2 linked regions of the Cricetulus griseus genome follow. Each later gene encodes a partner of the first gene's protein in a complex. Links are inferred from orthologs where the notes say so. Each region holds a gene or a part of one and is shown in the gene's direction. Other genes may lie near its edges. The genes, in order: Smarcad1 and Trim28.

The links.
Region 2: the proteins of Smarcad1 (region 1) and Trim28 are in contact, whole or in part, in a crystal structure (PDB 6H3A), measured with the Homo sapiens proteins. The link is inferred for Cricetulus griseus from reciprocal best matches to the Homo sapiens genes SMARCAD1 and TRIM28. Residues at the interface, in NP_001362784.1 of Homo sapiens: Asp156, Leu157, Ala160, Lys161, Gln163, Thr164, Glu167, Leu168, Phe169, Asp188, Gly189, Ala190, Ala192, Leu196, Ala201, Gly202, Gly203; in NP_005753.1 of Homo sapiens: Arg330, Trp333, Thr334, Lys337, Ile338, His341, Leu376, Lys377, Ile379, Val380, Asp381, Val383.

The regions. Positions count from the first base shown.
Region 1 is NC_048601.1:77,806,813-77,822,161, reverse strand, and holds part of Smarcad1 (SWI/SNF-related matrix-associated actin-dependent regulator of chromatin subfamily A containing DEAD/H box 1), read left to right. Parts: intron 1-2,831; coding exon 2,832-2,922; intron 2,923-5,511; coding exon 5,512-5,611; intron 5,612-6,471; coding exon 6,472-6,531; intron 6,532-6,629; coding exon 6,630-6,705; intron 6,706-8,687; coding exon 8,688-8,823; intron 8,824-9,705; coding exon 9,706-9,843; intron 9,844-12,245; coding exon 12,246-12,341; intron 12,342-12,446; coding exon 12,447-12,564; intron 12,565-12,902; coding exon 12,903-13,024; intron 13,025-14,189; coding exon 14,190-14,378; intron 14,379-14,968; coding exon 14,969-15,087; intron 15,088-15,349. UniProt on the Homo sapiens protein: DNA helicase that possesses intrinsic ATP-dependent nucleosome-remodeling activity and is both required for DNA repair and heterochromatin organization.
Region 2 is NC_048602.1:25,606,857-25,621,535, forward strand, and holds the end of Trim28 (transcription intermediary factor 1-beta), read left to right. Parts: intron 1-5,088; coding exon 5,089-5,140; intron 5,141-5,255; coding exon 5,256-5,439; intron 5,440-6,491; coding exon 6,492-6,755; intron 6,756-6,851; coding exon 6,852-7,486; intron 7,487-7,913; coding exon 7,914-8,026; intron 8,027-8,246; coding exon 8,247-8,379; intron 8,380-10,800; coding exon 10,801-10,936; intron 10,937-11,016; coding exon 11,017-11,133; intron 11,134-11,272; coding exon 11,273-11,387; intron 11,388-11,486; coding exon 11,487-11,633; intron 11,634-11,740; coding exon 11,741-11,855; intron 11,856-11,943; coding exon 11,944-12,050; intron 12,051-12,144; coding exon 12,145-12,181; intron 12,182-12,264; coding exon 12,265-12,310; intron 12,311-12,396; coding exon 12,397-12,649; intron 12,650-12,739; coding exon 12,740-13,059; intron 13,060-13,144; coding exon 13,145-13,268; intron 13,269-13,364; coding exon 13,365-13,451; intron 13,452-13,533; coding exon 13,534-13,671; intron 13,672-13,805; coding exon 13,806-13,982; and 2 more. UniProt on the Homo sapiens protein: Nuclear corepressor for KRAB domain-containing zinc finger proteins (KRAB-ZFPs).

The DNA.
Region 1 (15,349 bases):
TAATTATAAGCATCTCTGCTTCTGTCCTTTCACTCCTTTGGAAATCATGTTGAAACGAGCTTTTCTCACAGCACATGTAGAACTTGCTTCATCGCACACTGAAGAAATCATAATGATTGGGAGGAGTCTTTTCTCCCCATAGCAGAAAAGTAACTTTCAGATAATCCATGTCTTTATTTTCTTTTATGATCACATAGAAGATCTTAAAGAAGCATTTCCCTCCATGGCAAGCAAAAGAACCTCCAGCTTAGAGATGTTTGTCAAATTGTACATTTAGAGTTCTGAGTACTTCTACATTCTTACCAGTATATGGGTGGTTGCTATTCATATGCATTCATTCAAACTCTTAGGAAATTGTCAAAATAACTGGGAGGGAGCTTTGATTGCATAACATCTAAATAATAGGATCTGTTAAGAGAAAGAATAAACCCTACCTATTTCAATAATTTGTCATATTAAATGGAGTTACTTTTTTTTTTAAGTGGTACTGGGGATTTTTCCCAGGGCCTCATCAATACTTGTAAGCACTCATCAAGTAAGCACTCTTAACAATTGAGCCATATCCCCATCCAGTAAATGTAGTTTGAATTTTCTTTCTTAAACCTGCCTACGTCTTCACTGATCCTTTTATGTTGGTTCATTTGTGTTCTGGAGAAAGAACTGTATCAGGCAGTGATTTTCATGCTAAGTAACACAGTCATGAGATTTAGACAAAAATTAGTCCAGGAGCATGAATATACATATACATACATACCTATATGCACACTTATGTGTCAGTATGTATTTTGGAAACAAATACTCCAGTTTAATACAGCTGTTTAGTCAATAGCTAATCCAGGTACCTTAGCTAGGCTTCCTTGTGGTTGTAAATAAGTCAATATTCCTTGGATGGACATTTCTGTATAGTTGATGCTTTTCACTTACCACATTTAAAAAAAATTTGTGTGTACAGATTTTTGAAACCTGTATTAGTGATGAAAACTTTTATAATTTTGAAGAATATTCCTTGTTTTTTTTTGTGATAAGGCTGTATGTTGGAGTGTTATGGTAGCCCTCAGGTGCATTTATAAATGTTATAATTCTCCCTTACCAAAATTGGTTTTCAGGAACGTCAACCTTATATGTATATGATAACTAAAGAAAGCATTGTTAAGGTCTCAAAAATAATAGAGAACTAGGTGTTTACTTGACCATAGGATAGGTTAGCAAAAGCTTTTGGGTTTTGTTGTTTTGTGGCTAAAGGGTAGGCTTTTGGGGCTAGAGAAACGGCTCAGCACTTAAGAGCACTTTGCTGCTTTTGCACAAGACTTGTGTTCAGTTTTCAGCACATTGAACAACTCACAAACCACCTGTAACTTAAGGCAGCAGGAGTGCATGTGCTGCAGACACACACACAAAGGCAAACACCTGTACTCGTGAAAAATAAGTTTTCTAAATGGTAACTTTAGAGTAGTTCTGTTTGAATCCTGTGGAGGTCTTTTCACATTGTCGAGGCAATGTTGTAGCATGGGTAGGCTCATTGCCTCTGTAGGAGCCCAGAAATAGCATTGGTAGACAACTGATGGCTTTAGAAATGCTGACAATGTTTTTCTTCTTTGTATTGTTGTTGTTTTTTTAGTGGAAAATATTTTTATGTATTGCAACCCCCTAGCCTGAAACATAGATTCGTGTTTAAGGTGCGGGACTTTCGGCCCCACCTCACTGGAGCAAAGATGCTTTGGTTTCGGTTTAACCCACAGCTGCTTACATGCCACAGCTTTTGTCTAGACCTCTTTTATTTATGTAGACTGGGTATATGTAGGAGAATCTAAGGGGGCAAAATAAAAGCTGGGAAATGTTACAGACGTTCATTCACATTTATATGTGGTGAGTGCTGTCCTACTGAATATGAGAATAGGCTTTGGATTGAGTGACTTGCCAAATTAAAATATGAGACTTTACATTTTGTAGTTGTATAGCCCCAGATTCCAGAATCTCATTTATTTTCATCTAAAAAAAAAAAAAAAAACTGTAACAGTAGCTAATTTATAGCATTCTTAAAAAGTTACTAAAGTGACATCTGAAAAATGAATTGTGTTCTTTATATAGTAGATTTCAGTAAAATGGCTGTTAATAATTTTAGCATTTTAACATTAAGGAAATGTTGCTTTCATCCATTATAACTCTGTAATATAAGCAAAGTTGTTCTTAGGGATTAAATTGTTTATGCATTTCCAAGTTAAAAAGTTAAAACACTTGCATTTTATTTTGGTAGTCATCAACACTTAACAAATTTATATATGTAAATATATGCATATGTGCTTTATGTTACTCTACAACTACACAAAGCCATTATTAAGTAACCTAACAAAGGAACAAATTTTGTTAGTGGATTTAGTTCTAAAACTTTTATTCTTTAGTGTGCTAAAAGTCTAGTCAATATATTCTAATCTACTTTTGTAGAACAGATGTGACTTTAATATACTATCATAGTTAATATTCTGATCATTTATGGAATTCAGTAACTTGGTGATATTATGATGTGAGCAAATACAGAAATGTTTTATATTATTTGTACTGCCAAAGGAAATAAATGTCAAACTTTGAGTACATTTTTGAGATTTTAAAAATTGTTATGTATTATGTTCTAGATGTACTTTCTTAAAATGTACATAGCTTGTAAGAGTCAGGTTAAAAGGTAAGGCTCATCTAGATAGTTCTGGGTATTTTTTGTGTGTATAACCAAAATATCAAAATTATATATTATAGAAAATTTCTATATTAGTATAGAAAATTAGCAAATTACTATTAGCAAAAATAAAAATCTGTAATATTTGTTGTTTCTTTGTCAGTTTATCACTCAAGCCCTATCAGAAGGTTGGTTTGAATTGGCTGGCCCTGGTGCATAAACATGGACTTAATGGAATCTTGGCAGATGAAATGGTGAGTTTATACTATTAATAGAATTTTTAATTCAACATGTCATTAAAAGATATGTTGTCATTTGAAACATGGCATCATCTCTTGGAGTTGTTTGCTTTCTTGTGGTTTTTGTTGTTCTTTGGTTGGCTGGTTGTTTTTGTGGCGCTAGCTATCAAACCCAGGGCATGCTAGGCAAGCATCCTACCATTGAGCTACATCCCTAGTCCTCCATTGGACATTACAGTTTTTGCTGCTCTTATTTCAGTATCTTACACTTTCTCTTATCTTTCTTTGTTTTTATTGCTTTAGTTTTAAACCTCACTCCTCCACAACTGAAAGAAGTTTATCTTTCTGGTTATTATTTTATATCAAAGTAAATATTGTATGGCAATATCAACAAAATCATTTCAGTATCATTTTAATTTTATTAAATGTCTCTCTGAGTCATTTTTCCCCAAATTACAATTGGTTTTTGGGATAAGCTCATGAAGTTTGTTATAACCATTAGTTTAGGTATTGTCATATATGAACTTAACTGTTAATCTGATGTGTCCTCCACCTTCCTTCAGCTGTACTTGTAAAAAAGCATTTGTTGAACATGAGTTATATGCTGGCTATGTTGCCCCAGTACATGGGAGACAAAGGGTGGAGGATTTCAAGTTTGAGGGCAGCCTGGCTCACATGCAAACCCTACCACAAAAAGTAAAGCAAACAAAGAAAAGGTTGGGTCCAGTGAATAAGCATTGGATACATTAAATCACGTTGTCTACTGGAGTCTAAAAAATGGACAAACATAATACTGCTATTTCTGCATATTTAAACTGTCACTCTATACTTACTAAAGATGCTATTATTCAGTGTAAAAGTAAGTAATGTCTGAGGCATTTCAAACTTACAAAAATCAGTTGTAAAGAGCATGGCAGTTGTATAAATGAACTTGGGAATCAGACCTGGGCTTTGGATGCCAGCCTTGCCTTTCATGGACCATCAGATGACATAATCTTTCAGAACTAATATTAATAAAAGTATATAGTTTTTATACCCAGATTATATTTGCTATCAAAAAGCCAGGTGGTGTTGGCACACATCTTTAATCCCAGCACTCAGGAAACAGGCAGGCGATCTCTGTGAATTCGAAACCAGCCTGGTCTACAGAGTGAGTGCCAGGAGAGGCTTCAAAGTTACACAGAGAAACCCTGTCTTGAAAAATCGGAAAAAATAAATATATAAAAAGAATATGTGAAGTTAATTTTGTTATCTATAAAGCACAAATTTGTAAGTTGCATTAAATTTAAGTTTGCCAGAACAAAAATACCATGATCATACCATATAAGTTTGTTTCCCATAGAAGACCAAGATGTAGGTGGTAGCAGGCTTGGCTTCTTTTAATAAAGGCCTCTCCTCTTTTCTTGCAAGCAATGACATTGTTTCTGTGTCCTCAGATTTCATTGCCTTTTTGTGCCAATCCCTGAGGTCTCTATCTTCTTAAAAGGACATCAGTTTGAGTGGATTAGGACACCACCTTCAAGACTGCATTTACCTTAAATCTCTTCCTTATGGTCAGTCCTCTAAATACCGTTATCATTGCATGTTAGGACACCAGCATATGTATTTTGAGGAAAGAATACGTTGAGTTCATAACAATGAGTTGGTGCTACTTAGATCTCTTGAAGTGCTTGTTCACGGACCTTTTGTGTTGTGCCTTGTTTTTTTGTTTTTGTTTTTTTTTGTTTTTTGTTTTTTGTTTTTTCAAGACAGGGTTTCTCTGTGGCTTTGTAACTAGCTCTTGTAGACCAGGCTGGTCTCAAACTCACATAGATCAGCCTGCCTCTGCCTCTGCCTCCCAAGTGCTAGGACTAAAGGCCTGGCTTGTTTTTGTTTTGAAGTAGGGATTCATACTATTTCCCAAGCCAGTCTGGAACTTTCTGTACTATAGCCCAAGATGTTTGTTCTTAAACTGGCCTAGATCAGCCTGCCTCAGCCTCCCATGTGGCTGAGGTTACAGAGGTGATCCACCAAGCCCAGCTCTATACCTCAGTTCTGAAACCTGTCATTAGAGGCTGACCTCAGGCTACACTGTATACAGTTCATTCTGTCTGGCTCATTCAATACACCTGATGCTACTGGGGTTCATCTGCTACTATTTTATCAGTTTGTTTTCTTTTTTAATTGCCATGTAACATGGTCTTCTTATCTGTCCTTAAGAGTGCAATTGCATAATAATAGAGTTAGGTATATGTTTTGATCTAGTTATGAAATATAGTTCTCAGTCCACCTAGGTCACAGTAAGTTTTGTGCCTATAATAAGCAGAATTAGTCTTCTTCTAATACAATGCAAAATTCTTTCCTATTAAATGTGTGTCGTGTATAAACTAACTGCTAAGATTCATTATCTATGCTGCTCATTGAAATAAATTATAGAATCATTTGTGGAGATTTTACTCAGTTCATTTGAGGGCTATGAACTTTGTTGGAATTCCGAGAAGTGGATTATGGGAAATGGAAAAATCAATCCTGCCCAGAAATGCTCCTTTTTCTTTGTTACTTTAACTTACTTATTTCCATTCATTTTAAAGTTTCATATATTATCTTTTAAACTTTTAATTTTAGGGCCTGGGAAAAACCATTCAAGCCATTGCATTCCTGGCATACCTTTTTCAGGAGGGTAATAAAGGGCCTCATTTGATTGTTGTTCCAGCCTCGACCATAGGTTTGTAATACTGGGGACAACTCTTTGTGTTTTTCATGATGTCTTGTATTGGTGTGCATATGTGGTGACGAATATCAATTTTTTTGGCCTGTTTTCTCTGTTTTGTAAACGTCTCTGTGTGTGAGATAGAGAGGGTGGAGTGGGGAGGAAGGATGAGGGTGAGTGAGTTTGGGTTCATTGACAGTGGTTTCAAGGAATTTGACGTGGTCATTTATTTTGATTTCATAATACTTAGAAAGTATTTTTGTAGAATCAGCGGAGCTGGGTGTGATGGCACACACCTGTAATTTTAAGTGCTTGGAAGGCAGAGTCAGGAGAACTAGGGTTCAAAGTCATCTTCATATGTATATTGAGTTTGAGGTCAGCCTGGGCTACAGTCTGTGTGAAGAAAAATATAGCCAAATGCAGAAAGTATACAAAAAATATGGTGTAATTTTAGGAAGTAGGAGTTGAGAAGAGGTCTTACTATACTGTCTATCCATGCTTCCATGAACTCTTGGAGTTGGGTAATCCTCCTGGCTCAGTTCCTGGGTAGTTGGTATTACTACCCTACCCAACTTTAAAATAAATATTTGAATCTAAAAGTATGTCATTTCATTCCTGCTTAAATCATTCATCTATTCTTTCTGAATTAATTCAATGTACAAGTTGGGGTGAGAGAGTTTTTTTGCATTTAAGTATACAGTAAAAACTGTCTCTGAGCTGGGTTTTCACTTAAATGAGGTTGTGTTCTGTTCCTTTCCTCTGACCTTGATGCCACTTCAGATCATGAGGGGTGATATTCATAGTGCTGATTTCAAAACAAAACTGACTTAATAAACCTATAATAGCAGATTCAAATAATCTCTTGTGTTTTGTAGATAACTGGCTAAGAGAAGTTAACTTATGGTGCCCCACATTAAATGTGCTCTGTTACTATGGTAAGTCATTTGATTTTCATCATAAAGTTCTTCAAAATTAAAACAGATAATGAAACACAATTGATACAATCAAAGTATGCTTCATTTTTGAATTCTAGGCTCTCAAGAAGAACGTAAACAAATTAGATTCAACATCCATAATAAATATGAAGATTACAATGTAATTGTTACAACGTGAGTAATAAGAAAATTTGGGAGGAGGTGGAGAGAATTTGTATAGTTCTCCTTTTCTTAAAATTTCATTTATTTATTTATTTATTTGTTTGTTTATTTGTTTATCTTTAGGTAGGGTCTCATTATATAGTCCTGGCTGGACTAGAACTCTGTAGATCAAGTCCTGCCTCTGCCCCCCAAGTACTGAGATTAAAGGCATGTGCTACCATGCTCAGCTAGAAAAATATCTTGTAATAGTAATGTCTAGGTTAGTTTATGCTGGGACTGTGCAACTGAAGTGATAGGGTGATTTATGCTCACAAAGAAGGTATTTACACAACTTATTGTGTAAAGCTTTTTTTGTGTGTGTTTTTGTTTTGTTTTGCTAGTTGGCTAAAAATGGGGGTAAGATTTTTGTTCATTTAATTGAAAACATAGCAAAACTCAGTTAAGCTTAAGTTAAAATTTGAGGTTCCACACCAGTAGTTTATTTTTCTAACTTGCAAATAAGTGTTGATAATAAATATAATGAAGTCTCCTGCTCCCAGTGAAAAGTCTGAATTAGGCCAGACTAAGGATGATAACTACATTATTTCTCTTTGTTTCCTTCTGTTTTTTTTTGTTGTTGTTGTTGTTGTTGTTTTTGTTTTTTGTTTTGTTTTTTTGTTTTTGTTGTTGTTGTTTTTTTTGAGTTGGGGGGTTCTCTTTAGGTGGCTGGTCTCAAGTTCATTTAGCTGCTGAGTATTTCCTTGACCTCTGGATCCTTTTGCTTGCTCCCTGCAGTAGCTGAGATGTCAGGCTAGCACCACACCCAGTTTCAATATATCTTTAAATAATCACTGTGTGGTTGGAATTATTGTGTGTGAATGCATGGTGGAAAGCTTGATGTTTTTATAACACATTTAAATTATTATTACTGCCACCTTCTATAGGAGTCCATTAGAAAGAATTTGTCCAAAATTTCAGTTTTTTTTTTAAGGATTTAAGATATTTCATGTATGAGCATATGTGCCTAAGTGTGTCTATACGCACCACTTGCCTCTAGTTGCCAGCAGAAGCCAAAAGAGGGTTTCAGATCTCCTGAATCTGTAGTTACATGCAACTATGAGCTGCCAGGTTAGATGCTAAGAATGGAAACCAGGTCCTCTGTTCAAGACCAAGAAGTGTTCTTAACTGCTGAGGCATCTCTGCAACCCCCTTTAAAAAGATTTGTCATTTTTGTCTTAAGTATCCAGAACCCATATATAGTCTTGAACTCTTGGGTGTTAACCAGTAGTTCTTTGAACTACTCTTCTGTTTCACCTTTTGTTGTATTCTGCTTCTTAGAAAAACTTATGGGGCAGAGTATACAGCAGTGCTAGATTATTTCTTTTTTTGGTTTTTCGAGACAAGGTTTCTCTATGGCTTTGGAGGCTGTCCTGGAACTAGCTCTTGTAGATCAGGCTGGTCTCAGAACTTACAGAGATCTGCTTAAGCGCCTCTGCCTCCCGAGTGCTGGGATTAAAGGCGTGCACCACCACCGCCCGGCAAGTGTGGCTTGAATCCACGACCCTAAGATTAAGAGTCTCATGCTGTACCGACTGAGCTAGCTGGGCGATTATTTCTAAGTTATTCTGAAAGTGACTGCTTCCCAAGTGTGTCAGTTGTCGAATATTGTAACATTTAAATTTCCTTTTGGTTAATATTGCATACTTTGATTACATGTATGTAAATATTCATAAAAATAAGCAATATTTGACATCCTGACTGTTTAGTGTTGTCTTGTTAGAGCTATTCAAAATGTCAAAAGAAAATAATTCAGAGACCAGTGAGACAGTTTAATGGATAGGCAATTATCCCTGTACCAGGCAACCTGAGGAAGGAAAGAACATGACCTCTACACCTATCCCTTTGGAGTCACACGTGTACTTATATAACAAACAATAAATAGATGTAATTAAATAAATTTTTAAGAAAAAACTCCTAAATGGTGTAATGTGAAGTAATTTTTTTTTTGACAATAGATATAATTGTGCAATCAGCAGTTCTGATGATAGAAGTCTCTTTCGACGGTTGAAACTGAATTATGCAATTTTTGATGAAGGCCACATGCTGAAGAATATGGGCTCTATCCGTTACCAGCACTTAATGACAATTAATGTAAGTGTGCTTAATAAATAGTTATGATAAAATTGACTTTTCCCAATGTAGCTCGTGCCCACACACACGGGGAGGGCGGGGATGAGTTAGTTTTATATTAAGGAGCCAGCATGCTTTCTCTTTAAGGGTCTTTACTTCTTGGTGGGCCCTGGGGCCACTGTCATGGTTTTTTTTCTTTCATGAGTAATTCTTTAAAAATTAAAAAGAAACATGAAGACAGAATTTCATGCCCAGTCCCACAGCCATTTAGTCCCAAATAAACACATAGAGGTTTATATTAATTATAAAGTTTTTGGCCAATGGCTCAGGCTTCTTACAGGCTAGTTCTCTCTTAATTGTTAATCCATTTCTATTAAACTATATATTGCCACGAGGCATGTTACTTCTTTGACAGCTACATGGAGTCTCTCTGGTGAATCTCTGCCTTTCTTCTTCCCAGAGTTTTCCTAGTCTGGTAGTCCCACCTGTGCTTCCTGCCTGGCTAATAAGAGAAACATATATTCATAGCATACAGAAGGACATCGCCCATCAGAAATACTCTTAGTACTATGTTGCACAGGAGCTTCAATTTTGACAGGATATATATATATATATATATATATATATATATATATATTACAGTTTATCTTTTATCACTTCATAGAAGTTATTTCAGGATGCAAGTTACTACTTTCAAAACGTGACCAGCAGTTTCACATTCTGCCTGAAGTATATTAGATGATAATAACTGACATCAATATCTCAACTTTTCTTCTATCACAGAATGTAAAACTCTTAATGATGATTATAATTTTTTAATAGCCTTTATTGGACAAGGTAGACAAGAAGGGAGCGAGAGGCACTTAAAGAAAATTAATCTATGTTTTGTCTTCATTTTCTCAGGCAAATAACCGTCTATTGCTCACGGGTACACCTGTGCAGAATAATCTGTTAGAGCTCATGTCATTATTGAATTTTGTTATGCCACACATGTTTAGTAGTAGTACAAGTGAAATCCGGAGGATGTTTTCTTCTAAAACAGTAAGTATGCATGCATGTTTTCCCCAAATGTATAGCTGTTGGTCTAGGCTCTTCACTCATTTCATCTCTTACTGTTTTCGTGGTACATGCTCTATCAAGTGAGATTAAGTGCTTGGTATACCTATATGTGAACATATCAGTCACAGTATGGAGAAAAATAATGATCAATTCTATTATCAGTATTCAGGAGTTTTGACTTTTTTGAGCTGAGTAATAGTTTCAAATTGGTTGAAGAGCTCAGATATCTTGCATTATAGGCATATTTCCTTTTTAAATATGTGCTTTATTTGGCTTCCATTAATTTTAATACCTTATACAATTATCATTATCAAAATACCATTATCAAAACAAAACTTGTATAATACTATCAACTAAAAGACAAAGTTTGGAAACTAGTACTTAATACCTAAATTAGAAAGATTGCCCATCTTGGAGAGGATGAATGGGCTTTCCAAAGCTAGAACCTAGGGCTTGGTCTTAGAATTTAGGATTTTCAGATACCCAAGGATTTCCTGTCTGCATAGTCACTTTCTTGGGAAGCCAGATGCTTCTGGGAGTAGAGTGTAGAGGTCTTACCCAGAAGGGACTATTAACCCAGTGACTTCCTGACTTCCCTTTAGATCTACCATGTAGAGTCTGATGAGAGAGAAAATAGTGTGTTCTCAGACTCATCATTTATTTCATAAGGATCGCTCATGGTCTATGACTCAGAAACTATAATTATTGTTACATTTTAGAGGACAATATGAACATTCAAAGATGCCCAGGCTTTATGCAACAAGCTCCATTTTACTGCTTCATCCCATGGCTCTTGTTCTCTACCTGCTGCAGTGGAAAGAGAGTTGACTGCACTCAAGGGGTTCCAGTTCTCTTCTTTGAGCTGAGGGACCTTATCTAAGCAGTCTCTTTCTTGAGCATTTTACTTGAGGCTTGAGAACATCCACCCCTGAGATCCTTAAGATGGCCTTCACCTTTGATTTTCCTATTTGCCCACATGAGCAATGTGCATGTGTACATTCGGGCAAGAGGTTGACATGCGATACCTTCCTCTTTTGTTCTCCACCTTATTGTTTTACTATTATTAATTTATTATTTGATAATTTCATATATAATTATAATGCATTCTGGTTGTGTTCATCCCCCACCCCTCTCTTAACTTCTTCCTACTTCCATCTGCTACCCTCTTCTAGCCAAGTGCCAATCCCACTTGGCAAGCCACTGGGCTTAAATCACATCTATCATCTATTTGAGCATAGGTAACTCACCAGTGGCTATACCTTGAATACAATGATTTTGATTTTCCTAGCATATCTGACTACTGTTAAGTCCTCTGGACCAGGCCAGGCCTAATGATCCCTGCTCCCATCTGTGATTAAGTGTTTAGCAATTCTGTCTCATGCATTCCCCTAGTCAGTCTCCATTGCTGTGCCACGGCCAGGCTCTACCCATAGGACAGCATTTCATGGCTCTCTTTCCCATCATCTGATTCTTATACTCTTTTCTGTTCCTTCTTCCAGGGTGGCCTGTCAGCCTTACAAAGGGTGATGTGAATGCCTTGTTTAAAGCTGTGCACTTGTTTAAGGCTGAGGACCATACTAATCTGCTGTCCACTGGGATGTACACTAACCATTGCTAGGTTTCTAGGGCTCTGTGAGCTTGTCTGTTCTTTAAACCTGTCTCATCTCTGGACCACTGATTCAAGTGCCCATCAGCACTTGGTACCTCTCCACTGAACTGAAACACTATTTCTGTTAGACTTGATTTGTATTTTTTCTTAAAAGATATCTGTGGATTGTTCTACTGTCCATATCTGTCTTTTTGGTCTTTACTGATTAATTGCTCCCACTTGATGTGCAACTATAGAAATAGACTAGGAGATTTTATGAACTATTCTTCTAGTTCATAAAAGCTCTAGTTTATGGGTACTGTCCCTGTTTTTAATTTCTGTGATTTGTATCAAATTATTGACATTGGGGAAGACCTCTTTTTACAAAAAAGGTTGTTGCCCCCCCTCCTCATTCTCTCTTTAAACATGAGTACACATTTTTAATCCATGTGATTTATTCAGTCAGTGACTGAATTAGATGGTTGGGTTCTAAAGACCAGCTAGTCTGATTCAGGTTTATTACTTCAGTAAAATACATGATAATATAATGGGAATCCTCAAAATGTATATGGAGCTTCAAATACATTACAACTCAGAATTTAAAAGGAACTTTCTGGGCCCAGACAATAGCTTGGTGTAAAGAACCTACCTGTCATCCAAGGCCATGAGTTAGACGGTCAGATGTGCATTTCTATCTGTGAATCGAGGGTCTGCAGATTATGCATATTGTAAAATGAGATTGTTGGGATGATTTAAAGACATGACTTCTAAAGGGTTGGATTTTTATTTTGCTTAGAAACCAGCAGATGAACAGAGCATATACGAAAAGGAGAGAATAGCACATGCAAAGCAAATCATAAAGCCGTTTATTCTCAGAAGAGTGAAAGAGGAGGTAATTCTTTATCTCAGTGTTTTGGGTTACAGTTTTTTTTTTTCTTAAGAATTGTTATTAGAAAAAAAATCTTAGAAAAATCATGAAGTGATTTTCCTTTCCAAGGTTCTCAAGCAACTGCCTCCTAAGAAGGATCAGATTGAGCTGTGTGCAATGTCAGAGAAGCAGGAGCAGCTCTACTGGGGCCTTTTCAACAGATTGAAAAAGTCCATTAACAACTTGGGTAACATTTGACTTCACAGCTTATGGAAAAGAATGATCTTAGACTAGGGCATGTGATAATTAGGGGTTGTTGTTTTTGAAAAGTTAGCTGGGTTTTGAAGAATTTTTGTTTTCAAGACAGGGTTTCTCTGGGTAGCTCTGGCTGTCCTAGGACTTGCTCTATAGATCAGGTTGGTCTTGAACTCACAAATATCTCCCTCCTTCCTGACTGCTGGGGTTAACAGCATCCACCACCACCACTGCCTGGCTTGGAATGTATTTTTAAGTCTTAAAAATTAAGGTAGACTTTAGTAAAATAGCTCTCTATTACTTTTTTAATGTATACTCTCTGGACCACAGAAAAAAACACAGAAATGTGCAATGTCATGATGCAATTGAGAAAAATGGCCAATCACCCTTTATTACATCGCCAGTATTATACACCTGAAAAGCTGAAGGAGATGTCTCAGCTAATGCTGAAGGTAAGGGCTTATGCTATACTTCCACTGAGCTTTGCTAACACTGGGAAATATTTAGGATAATCTTATGATGAAAGTCAGGCTGCTTTAACATTGGGCATATTAATCTTTGAACCACTGCAGGTCTCGCGCATGTACCCAAACTCTTCATCATCTATTCTGTAGCCCTATCCTGAAATACATTTTATAGGCAAAGATATCTGAGGGACAAAAGAGAAAGGACAGATAATTAGGCCTAGCATCAGCAAACTGGGCCAGTAACTCTTCTTTTGTTGGAACACAAACATGGCCATTTATCTGTGTTGTTTTCTTAGGGTTTCTCACTGTAGAATAGAGCTGAGTAAAAGTATAGTACACAACACTCTCTACCTACCAAGCGAAAAATTCTAGTATTTACCAGCTGCCCCCGACCTTTCATGCTAATTTCTCAGCTAGACTTTCATAATACACATTTTTAAGTTAAAAAAAAAAAAAAAAAAACTAAACTGAAAGATCCCTCAGATTTGTTCCTGGCTAATGTGACAGGTTTCCCGTTTATTTTCTCCAGTTTGTTTTTCCTTTGTTGTATTGTTAGTTTAGTCTTTATTTTTGACTCATTCTTTCTTAGCTCCTTTTTGTAGATAAATCTATATTGAATGCAACGAATTGTCCTAATTATTTTAAACTTATGGAGAATTTTAAACACAAAAATACAAAGAATTCCTATAATGGACCCTCTGGCCATGATACTGTGATATGTTTTTAGTTAGCATTCATAATGCTACTATTCTTGTTTCCTGTAAGCCCCTAGATAACTTTGCCAAGATTATTTTGAATTTTCTGTTCAATTTTTAATTCCAAATTATGAATAATTATTTACATGGTAAGGGCAAAAAGGGTGCTTTTATATGTTAGTAATGACTGTCTCAATAAGAACTGTTCAAACAAAATAGGAGAGGATGTTTTTCCTCTGTGTTTGAACATGCTCTCTCTATAAAAGTTAAGAAATCTCCCTTTCTTTGTGATACTCCAAGTTAATACTCATTTCTAATCTTTAATCTGTTGAACTAAAATATTGGCTGGCTTGAGTATTTATTCAAATGTGAAATGTTTTTATTAAATTAGTCTTGTCATATTATGAATTGATTATTATTATTATCTTGGTGTGTGTGTGTTTCATTTTAAAAAGGAACCTACACATTGTGAGGCTAACCCCGACCTGATCTTTGAAGACATGGAAGTTATGACAGACTTTGAACTACATGTACTTTGTAAACAGTATCGACACATTAATAATTACCAGTTAGACATGGATTTGATTTTAGACTCTGGGAAATTCCGAGCCTTAGGATGCATCTTGTCGGAATTGAAACAGAAGGTATTTACAAGGATAACTGTCTCTTTGTATCTGCCCAATTGAATTTCTGAAAAAGAAAGTATCAGAAGAATGACTTGGGCTTTGTTTTTGTCCTAGTCAGTTCTATCTCCTAAAGATTAGTCTATGTATAATAGGTTCTTCTTTTTGTAGAACTTCAAAAAAAAATCATTATTTTGAAGGTAACAGATTTTGTCAAATGGTACTGCAATTTGTATGTAATAGCTTGGATTTTCAATGTTAATTTCCAAGTAGTGATTATGTAGCTTATCTCATTGAGTGATGCTGTTGTATTATGAAAAGGATTAATCTACTGCATTTAACTTAAAAAAACTGAGAGTTAAACTTCTGAAGTTCAAAAGTTAAGGTAATTTATCCATATATAAGGTAAAATAAATTTATCCTTGGTAACATTATTTGATTTTTTTTCCTTTAAAAAGATTTATGAATACTAAATAATTTTATCATGGGGAATATTCTGCAAAGTTGCCAAAAGGCTCTTTAAAGGCACTCCTTATTTTGTAGACCTCAAGGCTTTGGGTGGTGTAATGGTTTTACTTTCCTGTTTCTAATCCATAAATGTATTTCCACAGGGTGATAGAGTTGTATTATTCAGCCAGTTCACCATGATGCTGGATATATTAGAGGTTCTTTTAAAACATCATCAACATAGGTACCTCCGATTAGATGGAAAGACTCAGATATCAGAAAGGTTGGTATTAGCTGCCAGACCTCACTCATTTGTGTATCTGCTAGCATCGTAAATGTAGGGAACATTTCATAGAAATTTCTTGTTTTAAATCTTAGGCTATGTTATTTCAAATTATTACTTGGGGTGTGGGTGGTGGCTCTTGTTTTCCTTTAATATATTTTCTTTTGGTTTTGCAATTGTATACAGATATAATCTTAAGTATTATATGTATGGTTTTCATTATTTCCCCTTTTATATCATTTTTATTTTGCAGTGTTAGGGA
Region 2 (14,679 bases), on another chromosome or scaffold:
GAAAAGTTTCTATACATGCTAAGCCTCTTCACCAACGCGGCAATCCAAATCAGACCAAATGAAACCGCAGGGCGTTGGGTGGTGCATGCCTTTAATCCCAGCACTCAGGAGGCAGAGGCAGGAGGATCTCTGTGAGTTCGAGGCCAGCCTGGCCTCCAGAGCGAGTGCCAGAATAGGCTCTAAAGCTACACAGAGAAACCCTGTCTGGAAAAAAAAAAAGGAACCGAATTAGAAAAAGCCCACATTTAATGGATATAGCTCTCCCAGATGGCCTTCCGGTCCCCCAGAGAGGAGAGGGGAAAGGGAGACCAGAAAAACCATGAGTCTGGTGTCTGGGGGGCATTTTAAATACCTTGTGGGAGTGGTCGTGCTGGCTAATTTTCATGCCAACATTCTGTAGGCTAGGGTCATTTGGGAATAGGGAACCTTAGTTGAGAAACTGTGCCCACCAGACTGGCCTGTGGGAAAACCTTGTTTTGTTTTTGAGGTCTCTATAAGGTAACTCTGGCTGTCCTAGAACTTGCTATGTAGACCAGACTGGCCTCTGCTTGGTGAGTATTGGGATTAAAGGTGTGCACTGCCACACCCAGCCCATGGGACTTTTTTTTTTTCCGAGACAGGGTTTCTCACAGAGATCTGCCTGCCTCTGCCTCCAGAGTGCTGGGACTAAAGAGGTGCCCCACCACCGCCTGGCCCATGGGACATTTTTAAAATTACTGATTGAGGTGAGACAGTTTAGGTGGGTGGTTTTGTTCCTAGGTAGGTAGGTGGTCCTGGCTGTCTAAGAAAGTGCATGCCTTTAATCCAACACTCAGGAAGAAGGCTAATTTGACCTATGGCATTGGCTTTCACAGTCTTCATAGATTTTCTCCTTTCTATCCATCATGTTTGAATTTCGAGGTGGGTTTGTTACCCACTTTTTTCTGTCTAAAAAAAGTGCATAAGATTCTTCACCCTACACCCCTTAAAAAAAAATTTAAGAATTCAGGGGCTGGAGAGATGACTCAGTGGTTACGAACACTGACTGCTCTTTCAGAGGTCCCAGGTTCAATCCCCAGCAGCATTCACATGGTGGCCCACAGCTGTCTGTAACCCCAGTTCCAGGACACCCTCACCCAAGGCACATAAAAATAAAATGTATTTTAAAAAATTAAAACAAGGTTTCATTGTGGGAAGGGCTTTTCTGGAACAAAGGAAAGGCAAATAATCAATGCCTATGCTCACATGTCCTAACCCTGTGAGTTGTAGCTGGCTTGTATAATGCTGAAGGCTTTGGTGTCCTGTCCAAGAGTCTGTCTGTGGCCAGGCGGTGGTGGCGCACGCCTTTAATCCCAGCACTTGGGAGGCAGAGGCAGAGGCAGGTGGATCTCTGTGAGTTTGAGACCAGCCTGGTCTATAAGCGCTAGTTCCAGGACAGCCTCCAAAGTCACAGGGAAACCCTGTCTGGAAACCCCCCCCCCAAAAAAAAAATTCCAGCACTGGGGAGGATGAAGCAGGAGGACTGAGGCCAGCCTGGTCTACAGAGCTCCAAAGCTATACAGAGAGACCTCATATTGAGAAAAAAAAAAAGTCTGTTCAAGTATCGACTATTATTATGTAAAACCTAGGCTGACCTTGAACTTCCAATCTCTTCTGTCTACTTTGGGAATATGGGATTACAGGCATTAGTCCCCACCCTAGTTTCTTCATTTTTTTTCTTTTGTTGTTGCTATTTACTTTTATTTTATGTGCATTGGTGTTTTGCCAAGGATGTCGGGTCCCCTGAGACTGGAATTCCAGACAGTTGTGAGCTGCCGTGTGGGTGCTGAGAATTGAGCCCTGGTCCTCTGGAAGAGCAGTCAGTGCTCTTAAACACTGAGCCATCTCTCCAGATCTCTCCTCTCCCCAACCCTGCACCCCAGTTTTTTATGGGTTTGGAACCCAAGACTTTGTGCATGCTTGGTAAGCATACTGCCAACGGAGTATACATATCCTTAGTTCCTCGTTTCTTCATCCTTCTTTTTGCTGTACTGGGGACTGAATCCAGGGACTTGAACAGGCTTAGCAAACACTGCTGTACCTCTGGGCTATTTCCTCAGTCAGTCCTTTGGCTATTTTCTTCTTTTTCTATCATTCTTTGGCTATTCACTATGCTTCCTTCTGTCATCACCATGTCTCCAATTACTGACTTTCCCATATATATTGTTTTGTTTTTGGTTTTTTTTTGTTTTTTTTTGGTTTTTCGAGACAGGGTTTCTCTGTGGCTTTGGAGACTGTCCTGGAACTAGCTCTTGTAGACCAGGCTGGTCTCGAACTCACAGACATCTGCCTGCCTCTGCCTCCCAAGTGCTGGGATTAAAGGCATGTGCCACCAACACCCAGCCAAACATATATATATATGTATAATATATATGCTATATTATATATTTTTATGGTGGAAACTCCACCCAAGGCTCCTCCCCTATCTCCAAACCCTGCTGCATTTCATAAAGCCTGCCAAATGATGACCCTCCCCCAGAGAAGCTCAAGACCCCTCCCACAGGGTATTTAAACTGCCCCCTCCCCCCCAAAAAAAGACTTGTGGGTTTTCAGGTCTCCCTTCCCCTATCTCCCCTCTGGGGGACTGGTCAGAGATCTGGGAGCGTTGTATCCATTAAATGTGGGCTTTTTCTAATTCGGTTTGATTTGGTCTGGTTTGGATTGCTGCATCAGTGGAGAGGCTTATTGGGGTGTAGAAACTTTTCATATATTTATATCCGGAGCTAATGGAAGAGCAAGAGCATCTGGAGAACCATAATTAATACCATGATTAATATGAAGTTTAAACTGGTGACGGCCGGGGCTGGAGAGATGGCTCATTTGTTAAGAGCCCTGACTGTTCTTCCAGAGGACCCGGGTTCAATTCCCAGCACCCACATGGCAGTTTACAGCTGACAGCTGTCTGTAAACCCAGTTCCAGGGGATCTGATGCCTTCACACCAATACATATAAAATAAAAAGTATTACAACAAAACAAAACAAAACTGGTTACAGCCAAGAGTAGTGGTTAAGGATATCCTTAATTCCAGAACTCGGGAAGCAGAGGCAAGCTGATGCAATGTCCTTAATTTCAGACTCAGGAAGCAGAGGCAAGCTGATCTCTGCGAGTTATAGGCCAGCCTGATCTGCAAAGGGAGTTTCAGGACAGCCAGGGCTGTGTAGTGAGATCCTGTCTGGTCATGGTGATGGGGTCGGATGGGATGTTTCAATGCTAGGCATGTTGGCATTCCCCTGTAAGCCCAGCTACTCAGGAGGCTGAGGCAGGGGAACTCAGATAATAGCTTGACAGGCCACACAGGGAGTTTAAGACTGGCTTGGGGATTGGGCAATAGAGTAATCACTGCCTCAAATTAAAGCAAGCAAACAAAAAAGGCTGGGGATATAAGGCAGTCAGTGAGAGGTTCAGCACTTGCCTACAGTCCCCCATTAAGTTAGGGGGTTTGCTCAGTGGTGGAATGCTGACCTCACTTGCAGGAAGCCCTGGGCTTAATTCTCAGCACAATACACCCTCATCCATCAAAATGTATATATCTTAGTTTCTGTAACATCTAAGCGTTTATTGCTTAGGAAAAGGAATCTTTTTTTTTTTTTTTTTTTTTTTTTGAGACAGGGTTTCTCTGTGTAGCTTTGGAGCCTATCCTGACACTCACTCTGGAGACCAGGCTAACCTCAAACTCACAGAGATCTGCCTGCCTCTGCCTCTTGTTTGCTGGGATTAAAGGCATGCACCACCACTGCCCAGCAATTTCAGTATTCTTAAACAGGGAGATTATTTTTAATCTGAGTTTATCTGGTGTGTTCTAAATACATATATTGACATTTCTTGAACTTTTATTTTTGATTTTATGTATTTGGATATTTTGTTTGCTTGTTTTTTGAGACAGGGGTTCTCTGTTGTTTTGGAGCCTATCCTGGCATTCACTCTGTAGACCAGGCTGGCCTCGAACTCACAAAGATCTGCCTGCCTCTGCCTTCCGAGTGTTAGGATTAAAGGCATGCACCACCAACGCCTGGTGATTTTTCTTTCTTTTTTTTTTAATTATAATTTTATGTCCCTGGTGCTGGAGGAAGTGAGAAGAGGGCATTGGATCCCTTGGAACTGGAGTTACCGATGGCTGTGGGATACCACGCGGGTGCTTGGAATTGAACCTCTGATGCTCAGCAAGAGTTGCAAATGCTCTTAATCCTTTTGTTTGGGGCAGGGCCTCATTCTGTAGACCAGGCCAATCAGAACTCACTAAATTAACAATGTGCTTTTTTTGTCGCTGTTGTGGCAGACTATGTATCCCAACTTGACTTCACTATTTAGCACAGGCTGTCCTCGAATTCATCCTGTTCTGCCTCTGCCTCTACAGGGCTAGGATCACAGGCACCTGCCAAAGCACTGAGCTACATGCAACCCGTGTCTGTCCTGCCATGGGTCTTAGCACCGGTTTCTAGCTAGCTACAGGGCTTTTTTCATTTTGGGGGGACGGTGTCTGATAGTTACTTCTGTACTTTCTACCAATACCTATTAAAATTTTAAGTTGCACAGGGTGCGGTAATGCTCCGCATTAATCCCAGCTCTCAGGAGGCAGAGGCAGGCGGATCTCTGTGAAAATCGAGGCCAGCCTGGTCCACAGAGTGAGTTCCAGCACAGCCAGGGCTACACAGAGAAACCCTGTTTTGAAAAAGGAAAAGATTAAATTGCATTGGTTGTGGTGTGTGTATGTGTGTGTGTGTGGGGGGGGGGTGTGTGGTGAGTGCACACGCATGCACAGGAACCTAGGACAACCTGAGGGAGGGAGTTGGTTCTTTCCTTCCACTTTGTGGAAGGATTAATGATTAAACTAATAGGGTCAGGGTGGGTTGCAAGCGCCTCTGTTCGCTGAGCCATTTCCTCGGCCTCCATCGCCCCTCTCCCGCCGCTCACCCCCATCCCGTGCCCTGGTTCTGCTGGGCTGGTGCTGCAACCTAGGGCTCTGCACAGGACAGGCGAGCAAGCGTTCTGCCCCTCTTTCAAACCCCCAGGCCCCACCATTATCTACTTTGATCTTGCGTCTGGTACCCTAATATCTGCTCCGGGCCTAGGTAGCCTTAGTTCACAGGCCCCTTACCCTGGAGATCCCGGGGCCAGCTATGGGTGGGGCTGTGAAATACTCCCCAAATACTTCTACGGGACGCCCACACTTCCCCCCATCCCCCCCCCCGTGCTTGCTTCTCCAGCCTGCAGATTATGCCCTCCTTTTTGGAGGTAGGAAGTGAGAGTCCAGGCGCTGGGTCTGGTGGGGGCGTGGCCCGCTGGAGGGTGAGCGCTGAGCTGCGGGAGGAAGGAACAAAGGCTGGGGCGGGGACAAAGCCCCGGGCCCCCAGACGGATTGGGAACAAAGGCCACACCCGGGACAGTGGCGGGACACTCACTCCTCGCCTCTCCATTGCCACGTGGGGGACACCTGGTTCCCCAGCGAGGTGGCAGCTTCCTGCTGTTTAGAACCCTGGACCTGCCAGCGTGCAGCAGTCCAGACCTAGGGTGCACACCGAGGGTGCTCATGGCACTACACGAGGCGGCAGGGGCGATCGCCCTCAGCACGGGGCTGGGGCGGGAAGGGGGGGGGACAGATCGCCTTCCCCACACTGATCCTGGGACTCTTAATAGCCACGCAACCCTGCTGATCTCTTCAGATCAGATTCATCTTGGACCCTGCTCCTCTCCCGGGACAGGTCCCGATTGCCTCTCTCTCGGGGTCCCCGTCCTGCCCCTCACATGAGATCCGCCACTCCCATCCAACTTTTATTCCTCCGCTGCGCTAAACGTTCGGCTCGCCCACCCTCCCGGCCCGCTTTTAAACCCCAGGCAAATCAGGAGAGCAGATGGCTAACACGAGAAGGGGTGATGGGGGTGGGCAGAGTCCCCTCGACAGAACGGCTTCTCCCTAGTCCTTTGTGATCCATCTACGGGGTCCACTTGGGCGAACTTTCTGCTTCCCGAGTTTTAACAATAAAAAAAAAAAAAAAAAGTTTGCGTTGAGACCGCCTCCTCCGCGTTCCGGCGGGAACTTCCTTCCTGCCGGAGACCCCGCGCGCCCCCTCCACCTGGGGCTCAGTCTCTCTCTCTCTCTCGGTGCTCCGCCGCGGCCCCGCCCACTCGGGAATCGTCCCGCCTCTCCCCGACGCCGATTGGCCCGCCGGAGGCTGCAGACGTCGCCCCGCCTGCCGAGGGGGCGTGGCTTCGAGGTGCAGCTCCGCACGACCCGCGCGTTTCATCCGCCTCGAGCCTGGGAGGCGTCGTCGCGCGCCCTGCTCTCTCTCTCGATCCCCGGCGGATTCCCGCACGCGCGGGGGAGGGAGGGGCCGTCGCTCTTTTTTCTTTTTATTTCTTTTTTTTTTTTTTTGGGGGGGGGAGGAAGAGGCGGGCGGCCGGGCGCCGCCGCGAGCCGCAGGCCCGGGCACACCGGCGCGTGCGTAATCGCCGCTAGCCCCGCCCTCTCGCTCAGCCCGCCCGCGCCCCGCCCCGCCCGCCCGGGGTGGCGGCGCCCAGCGCGCGTGCGCGGCGGCGTCGGGCGCCAGATATTTCTGTCCCGCCTCCGGGCCGCGGCTCTTTCTGCGAGCGGCGCGCGGTCGGGGACGGTCCTTTCGCGAGTCGCGAGCCGAGGAGCGCGAGGTCCCCGGCGGCGGGCCGAGGCGGAGGAGGAGGAGGAGGCGGAGGAGGGGGGCGGCGCCGTCGTCGTCGTCGTCCTCGTCGTCCGCAAGGGAGCGAGGCCGGGTAGCCAGCCGCGGTTTTTTTTTTTTTTTTGGTTTTTGTTTTTTTTTTGTCTTTTTTTTCCTTTCTATTTTTGTGTCGCCTGCGTCCCCAGAGGCGCGCGCCGCGCGGGCGTCGGCCCCGGGAAGACGCGTGGCGGCGGCGGCGGCGGCGGCTCGGCGGCAGCGCAGGCTCGGCCCGGCCCCGGCCGTTGGCGGCGAGCGCTCGTGCGCCTGCGCGGCGGCCTCCGCGCCCCTCCTCCCCCGGGCGGGCCCCCCCTCCCTCCGCCCCCCGCCCCCCCCCACCCCACCCCCCACCCCCCGGGGCGGGAGAATGGCGGCCTCGGCGGCTGCAGCAGCCTCGGCGGCCGGCCGCGCGGCCACGGCGACCTCCGGCAGCCCCGGCTCGGCGAGGGCCGGCGGTGGGCGGCGACAAGCGCCCCGCCGCCCTTCTGCGGCCACGGACGGCCACGGCGACGGCGACGGCGGCGGCGGCGGCCTCTGCAGCGGCGGCGGCGGCGGCGTCGCCCGCGGGGCGGTGGCGAGGCGCAGGAGCTCCTGGAGCACTGCGGCGTGTGCCGCGAGCGCCTGCGGCCCGAGCGGGAGCCTCGGCTGCTGCCCTGCCTGCATTCGGCCTGCAGCGCGTGCCTCGGCCCCGCCGCACCCGCCGCGGCGGCGGCGAATAGTTCCGGGGATGGCGGCGGCGGCGCGGCGGCAGCAGCGGCAGCATCAGCAGCGGGCGACGGCGCTAGTGAGTGGGGCTGGGTGGCCGGGGGACCCCTCCCCCCTCCTCCTCCTCCTCCCCCCTCCCTGCAGCCCTGCGCCTGTGCGAGAGTCTGGGGGGCTCCCCCCCCACGTAGGGTAGCGGAGGGGAGGGTTGGGTTAGCCCCCGGTGGCTTTAGGCTGGGGGTGGGGGGGTGGGACACACGAGCTCTTGGCCTCTGCGCTGATGTGCGCGTGGCCCCCCTGGTCCGCGTCCGCGAAGATGCAGAGTGTGGTAGGAGATGGGAAAGTAGCGCCAGGGCAGGGAGAAGGGTAGATTTGTGTCTGTCTGTGGTTCCAGCCTTCTTGGGGGGTGGGGGGTGGGGGGAGGCACGCAGGTCACAGCCTTCTTGGAGGGGGGGGGGAGGCACGCAGGTCCGGAGAATGTCCGGCGTTCACGCCCTTGTGTCCCGCAGTGGTGGATTGTCCAGTGTGCAAGCAGCAGTGCTACTCCAAAGACATCGTGGAGAATTATTTCATGCGTGATAGCGGCAGTAAGGCTTCCTCCGATTCACAGGATGCTAATCAGGTGCGTTGTCCTGGGGGAGAGAAAGGGGTTGTTGCGTCCTTTTTCTGGAGCCTCACCATCCTCAGCTTGCTTGGCTGTTTTCGGGATCTAACCCCAGCTTCCCGGAGGGCAGTACAGATTTGAGGGCATGGTTATAGGAAGTTTAGGTTGTGTGTTCTGGGAAGTAAGTGGCGTGTCTGCTGCGCGGTTCTGCCGATTCTAACCCTCCTCTCTTTCACAGTGCTGTACTAGCTGTGAAGATAATGCCCCAGCCACTAGCTATTGTGTGGAGTGCTCTGAGCCACTGTGTGAGACCTGTGTGGAGGCCCACCAGCGGGTGAAGTATACCAAGGACCACACTGTGCGCTCCACAGGTAGGTGAAAAATTGGAGGCTGTTGGAGCTACCCTCTTCTTTCATTTGCCCAAAATGGCTGCTTGCTGGATGGTTTTCCAGGGACCTGACACAACAGAAAAAGTTCCTGGGTTCAGTAATCTGGGGTTCTAGATGGGAAGGGAAAGGTCCTAGCCAGGCAGTGTGTGTAGGGTGTCTTAAGTATGTTGCAGTCAATACTAAGGATTGAACTAATACCATCTTGGGAAACTCAGACAGTGAGTGAGTGGGTCCTGGTGGTAGACACCTTATCGTAAGCAGCCAGTGAAAGCAAGATGGAAATGACTTTTTGGATTTGAATGTTCCCTGTCTGGCTTCTGGCTTTAGATTGCTGGAAAAGTAAGGGCTCTGGATCAGGCAGGGTTTCTTTTATTTTTTCATTAAAGATTTATTTATTATGTATACAGTGTTCTGCCTGCAGCATATATTCATGCAGGTCAGAAGAGGGCACCAGATATTACAGATGGCTGTGAGCCACCATGTGGTTGCTGGGAATTGAACTCAGGACCTCTAGAAAGAACAGCAAGTGCTCTTAACCTCAGAGCCATCTCTCCAGCCCCCAGGAAGGGTTTCTTGACCAACCATCTTGACAGGTTGGTAAGGCTTTGGTCCATCAGTAAGGGTGAGTCCTGGAATGATTTCCAGTGAGCCTTAAGTATGGTACCTTCCCTGAAGACTCATGGTCAGATAATCTAGGATTTTAAATTTGTATGGTGGCTTGGGTGTGAAATAGATTTTGATTTTGGGGTGGGTGGGTGGTTTGGGCCAGACAGATGCCTTAGTGGGGAGCAACTTTTTGGTGTGATAGTTGTATTGATTCCCACCCCAGAGGACAGGGTGCTGGTGGTAGTGGAAGGTAGTGTGGGGGTCTGAGAAGCCAGGAGGCATAGGAAGGAATCTGTAGGTTCTGTCAGGACAGAACAGGGGTACAGCACTGGGTAATGATGACTGGCCTGTGTTCTGGTACGTAGTTTGGGCTTGGTTAGTATAGTCTGGATTGGACTAGAATTGGGAGGAAGGGGACTGACAAGTCTATTAGTTTCTGTTTTGGTGAGATATTGTCTTATTATAGCCCAGGCTGGCCTTGGACTCTATTTGTTTATGTTTTTTGAAACAGGGTTTCTCTGGCTTTGGAGGCTTTCCTAGAACTAGCTCTTGTATACCAGGCTGGTCCTGAATTCACAGAGATCTGCCTGCCTCTGCCTCCCAGTGCTGGGATTAAAGGTGTACACCACCGCCCAGCGGCCTTGGACTCTTGATGTTCCTTCCATAGCTCCAAAATTGCTTGGATTAAGCCTGGCGGTGGTGGTGCACACATCTGATTCACAGAGGCAGGGTAGCTTCAAGGGTAGCTTGGTCTACAGAGTGAGTTCAGGACAGCCAAGGCCAGACAGAAACTCTTTCTACAAAAACAAAAGGCACTTGCCAGTATGCATGGTTTTACCCCAACCCCTTTTTTTTTCCCCCAAGACAAACGTTTTTTTCTGTCAACAGCCTTGGCATCAACTTAGATACCTACCTTTGCCTCTTGTGCTCTGATTAAAGGTGTTGCTACACCCAGCATTTCTGTATTTTGAGAAAAGGTCTACAGAGCCATTCCTATCCTTTAACCCACCATGTAGACCAGGCTGGCCTTCACACTTAACAGAGATCCTATTGGGCCTCATCAGACCTTTTTGGGAAGATAGGTTAGTATGTAGTCCTGGGTGGTCTGTAATTCAGGTTGATCTCAATCAGACTCTGTCTTTGACTTCTGTCTGCCTTTGTCTTCTGAGTCCTGGGATTATGTCCAGCCTCTCTTGTTTTATGCTTTTTTTTTTTTTTTTTTTTGGATGGGGTGGGTCTGAGGCAAGGTTTCTCTGTGGCTTTGGAGGCTGTCCTGGAACTAGCTCTTGTAGACCAGGCTGGTCTCGAACTCCTTCTGCCTCCCGAGTGCTGGGAGTAAAGGTGTGCGCCACCACCACACCCGGCCTCTCTCTTCTTTTCAAGATGATCAGTCTCAGCTACAGAGACAAGTCTGGCTTTGGAGTCACTATCTGTAGCTTACCTTGAACTTGTGGTCATCTTTGAGTTTCCTGGGTGCTGGTAATGTAATTAGCTTTTTAATGGGGACGTACTGGTGTTTTGCTGTCTGGGTGTCACTAGTCTAAGCCATCACGATCTTGTTTATTTGGGGATGGTTTGTTAGAAAGACAGATAACCAGGAAATAGTACGGAGGTTCTTCACAAGCTCTCTGTATCCAATATTGTGGATGGTGTGGTCATCTGGGAGACCATAATGCTTCGTTGTTGATGTAGGTCTTCTCCAGAGGTGGCCAGGGTTGTAGGAGGAGCTGGAAATGGATGTGGGTTATGTCTGCTCTTGAGTTGGAGATGGTTAAGGGCATGATTCCTCCTTCGCAGGGCCTGCTAAGACTCCAGATGGTGAGCGCACAGTCTATTGTAGCGTCCACAAGCACGAACCCCTTGTGCTCTTCTGTGAGAGCTGTGACACTCTGACCTGCCGGGACTGCCAGCTCAACGCTCACAAGGACCATCAGTGAGTCCAAAGTCACAGTGGGTAGGTGGGTGCCACTGCTTGCAAGTTGAGCCTGCAGGCTCACTTTTTTGTGGTTTCAGGTACCAGTTTTTGGAAGATGCAGTGCGGAACCAGCGTAAACTCTTGGCCTCTCTGGTGAAGCGCCTGGGGGACAAACATGCCACACTGCAGAAGAACACCAAGGAGGTTCGCAGCTCGTAAGTGCGGGTGCCGGGGCTATTGGGGTGCCGGGGCTATTGGGGTGCCGGGGCTATTGGGGTGCCGGGGCTATTGGGGTGCCGGGGCTATTGGGGTCCTGGGGCAAGGCTTTCTGGCTTGACTTGTCGTGTGCATTAGTATCCGCCAGGTCTCTGACGTGCAGAAGCGTGTGCAGGTCGATGTCAAGATGGCCATTCTGCAGATCATGAAGGAGCTGAACAAACGGGGCCGGGTTCTGGTCAATGATGCCCAGGTGAAGCTCATGTTCCTGGCATGACCCCATCCTGGGTGGAGAATGGTCCTAATTTCACTGCCTTGCCTTCTTGCTAACCCTGTTCTCCTTGACCTGCAGAAAGTGACAGAGGGGCAGCAGGAGCGCCTGGAGCGCCAGCACTGGACCATGACCAAAATCCAGAAGCATCAGGAACACATTTTGCGATTTGCTTCTTGGGCTCTGGAGAGTGATAACAATACAGCCCTCTTGCTGTCTAAGAAGCTGGTGTGTAGTGTGGGCTTCATTGAGCCAGGTGGCCCTCGGCACCTTTGGGACCCTCTAAGTTGCCAAGTGGGCTCATGTGCTGCCTTTCTGCCCCTTTGCCCCATCAGATCTATTTCCAGCTGCACCGCGCTCTCAAAATGATTGTGGACCCCGTGGAACCTCATGGGGAGATGAAGTTTCAGTGGGATCTCAATGCCTGGACCAAGAGTGCGGAAGCTTTTGGTAGGTAGTGTGGGCTTTGCTTTTGCCTGACCTGGGGAGCATCTTGGGCAGTACTGCTTTCGTCTATTGAGAATTTTCTCTTGTTTAGGTAAGATCGTGGCTGAGCGTCCTGGTACAAACTCCACAGGTCCTGGGCCCATGGCTCCTCCAAGAGCGCCAGGGCCCCTAAGCAAGCAAGGCTCTGGCAGCAGCCAGGTGCGCTGGGGAGAGAAATCAGGAAAGGGGTGAGGGCCATAGGGTGCCGTGGAGTACTTGCCCCACTGATGAGCATTCTCTGTTCTTTCTCTAGCCCATGGAAGTACAAGAGGGCTATGGCTTTGGGTCGGGTAAGTAGTTTGCCTGGGGAATTGGAAGGGCTTGGTGAGTACCCTGTGTCTGTCTTTTCTACCAACCCTTTGTCTTCCCACAGATGATCCATACTCCAGCGCAGAGCCGCATGTGTCTGGCATGAAGCGGTGAGTGTGGCAGCCCGTTGGGTGTAGTACTTTAGCGGTGTGGTAGAGAGAGACTCGTAGGATCTCATAACATGCTATACTTACAGGTCCCGCTCTGGTGAGGGGGAGGTAAGTGGCCTCATGCGGAAGGTGCCGCGTGTGAGCCTTGAACGTCTGGATCTGGATCTCACTGCTGATAGCCAGCCACCAGTCTTCAAGGTCTTTCCTGGCAGCACCACTGAGGACTACAATCTGATTGTTATTGAGCGTGGTGCTGCTGCAGCAGCTGCTGGTCAGACTGGAACAGTGCCTCCAGGAGCTCCTGGTGCCCTACCGTTGCCTGGCATGGCTATTGTCAAGGTGAGTCTGTCCTAAAATGCAGAACAGTGGTTAGAGAGGGACATCTGTCGCCCCAGATTTGGATATAATAACACTCAGCCTGTTTTATAGGAAGAAGAGACAGAAGCTGCTATTGGAGCTCCACCTGCTGCCACTGAGGGTCCTGAGACCAAGCCCGTATTGATGGCTCTGGCTGAAGGCCCTGGTGCTGAGGGACCCCGTCTGGCTTCACCTAGTGGCAGTACCAGCTCAGGCCTGGAAGTGGTGGCTCCTGAGGGTACCTCAGCCCCTGTAGGTGGACCAGGTGTCCTGGATGACAGTGCCACTATCTGTCGTGTCTGCCAGAAGCCAGGTGACCTGGTCATGTGCAACCAGTGCGAGTTTTGCTTTCACCTGGATTGCCACCTCCCTGCCCTGCAGGACGTGCCAGGGTACGTGTGAGGGTGGGCAGCGTCAGGTGATCGGTCACGGAGGGCTAGTTGTCATGATTGACATCTCTGCTACTCTTCACCATAGGGAGGAGTGGAGTTGCTCACTCTGCCATGTGCTCCCTGACCTAAAGGAAGAAGATGGAAGCCTTAGCCTGGATGGAGCAGATAGCACTGGTGTGGTAGCCAAGCTCTCACCAGTCAACCAGAGGGTGAGGGCTGAATGCATAGGAGTTGGTCGGGTGGCCCAGTAGCTGAAGCCCTCATCCATGCTATAACTCTTGACGTCTCTTGTACTGCCTGCCTAGAAATGTGAGCGTGTTCTTCTGGCCCTCTTCTGCCACGAACCCTGTCGTCCCTTGCACCAGCTGGCTACTGATTCTACATTCTCCATGGTGAGTTCCATCCAGAACAGAAGAGTGTGGGTTATGCCAAGAGGTGGTGGGTGTTCCTTATGCCCATGTTTTCTCCCTGCAGGAGCAGCCTGGTGGTACCCTAGACCTAACCCTGATACGTGCTCGTCTCCAAGAGAAGCTGTCACCCCCTTATAGTTCTCCCCAGGAGTTTGCCCAAGACGTGGGCCGCATGTTCAAGCAGTTCAACAAGCTGACTGAGGTGGGCCTGCAGCTGAAGCCGGGAGGGCGGGGCGGGGCGGGTGCCAGGACTCACCACTGCACTCTAATTGGGCAGGGCGGGCAGGGCTGGCGGGGTGGGAGCCAGGACTCACCACTGCACTCTAATTGGCCCAGGACAAGGCAGATGTGCAGTCCATCATCGGCCTGCAGCGCTTCTTTGAGACGCGCATGAATGACGCCTTTGGTGACACCAAGTTTTCTGCTGTGCTGGTAGAACCGCCACCGCTGAACCTTCCCAGTGCTAGCCTAAGTTCTCAGGAGCTGGCTGGTGGTCCTGGCGATGGTCCTTGAAGCTGGAGCTCTTGTGGTCAGCCCAGTCAAGCTCTGGTCTTTGTCCTTCCACCCCGTTTCCCCTCCTCCTTTGGTGGCTTGACTCCTGCTCTTGGTGGCCCTGTCCTTCAGTCCCTCCTCACAAAATGGTTTTTACTTCTGTGGATTTAATAAAAACTTCACCGAGTCGTTCATGCCTCAGCTGTTTGGGGACTATATTCCCGAGGATTTAGGCTCTCACTCCCTGCATTAGTCACCATATCAAAGACTTCACTTCCCAGGGAAGGATTTGTACACTACCTAGTGAGACTCTGGTTGAGGTCTCAAGTGTACCATCTGCCTCCCAGTGGCCACATAGATAGGAGCTATCAGCTTGCACTAAAAAGATGGGTTGTGCCGGGTGTTGGTGGCGCACGCCTTTAATCCCAGCACTCAGGAGGCAGAGGCAAGCGGATCTGTGATTTTGAGTTCAAAGCTCCACAGAGAAACTCTTGGCTCAAAAAACCAAAAAAAAAAAAAAAAAAGGGTTGTGTGCTGAGTTGAGATTCTAGAGTTTCTCTATTGGTCTCCCCTCCCCCCACAATACAGGGTCTGGCTTTCCTGGGACTCTGTAAAACCATGCTGTCCTTGAACTCAGATCTGCCTGCCTGTTGAGAGTTGGGATTAAAAGTTTGTACCATCAACACCTGGCAAGGATTTGTTCCTTCTTGCTTAGGAT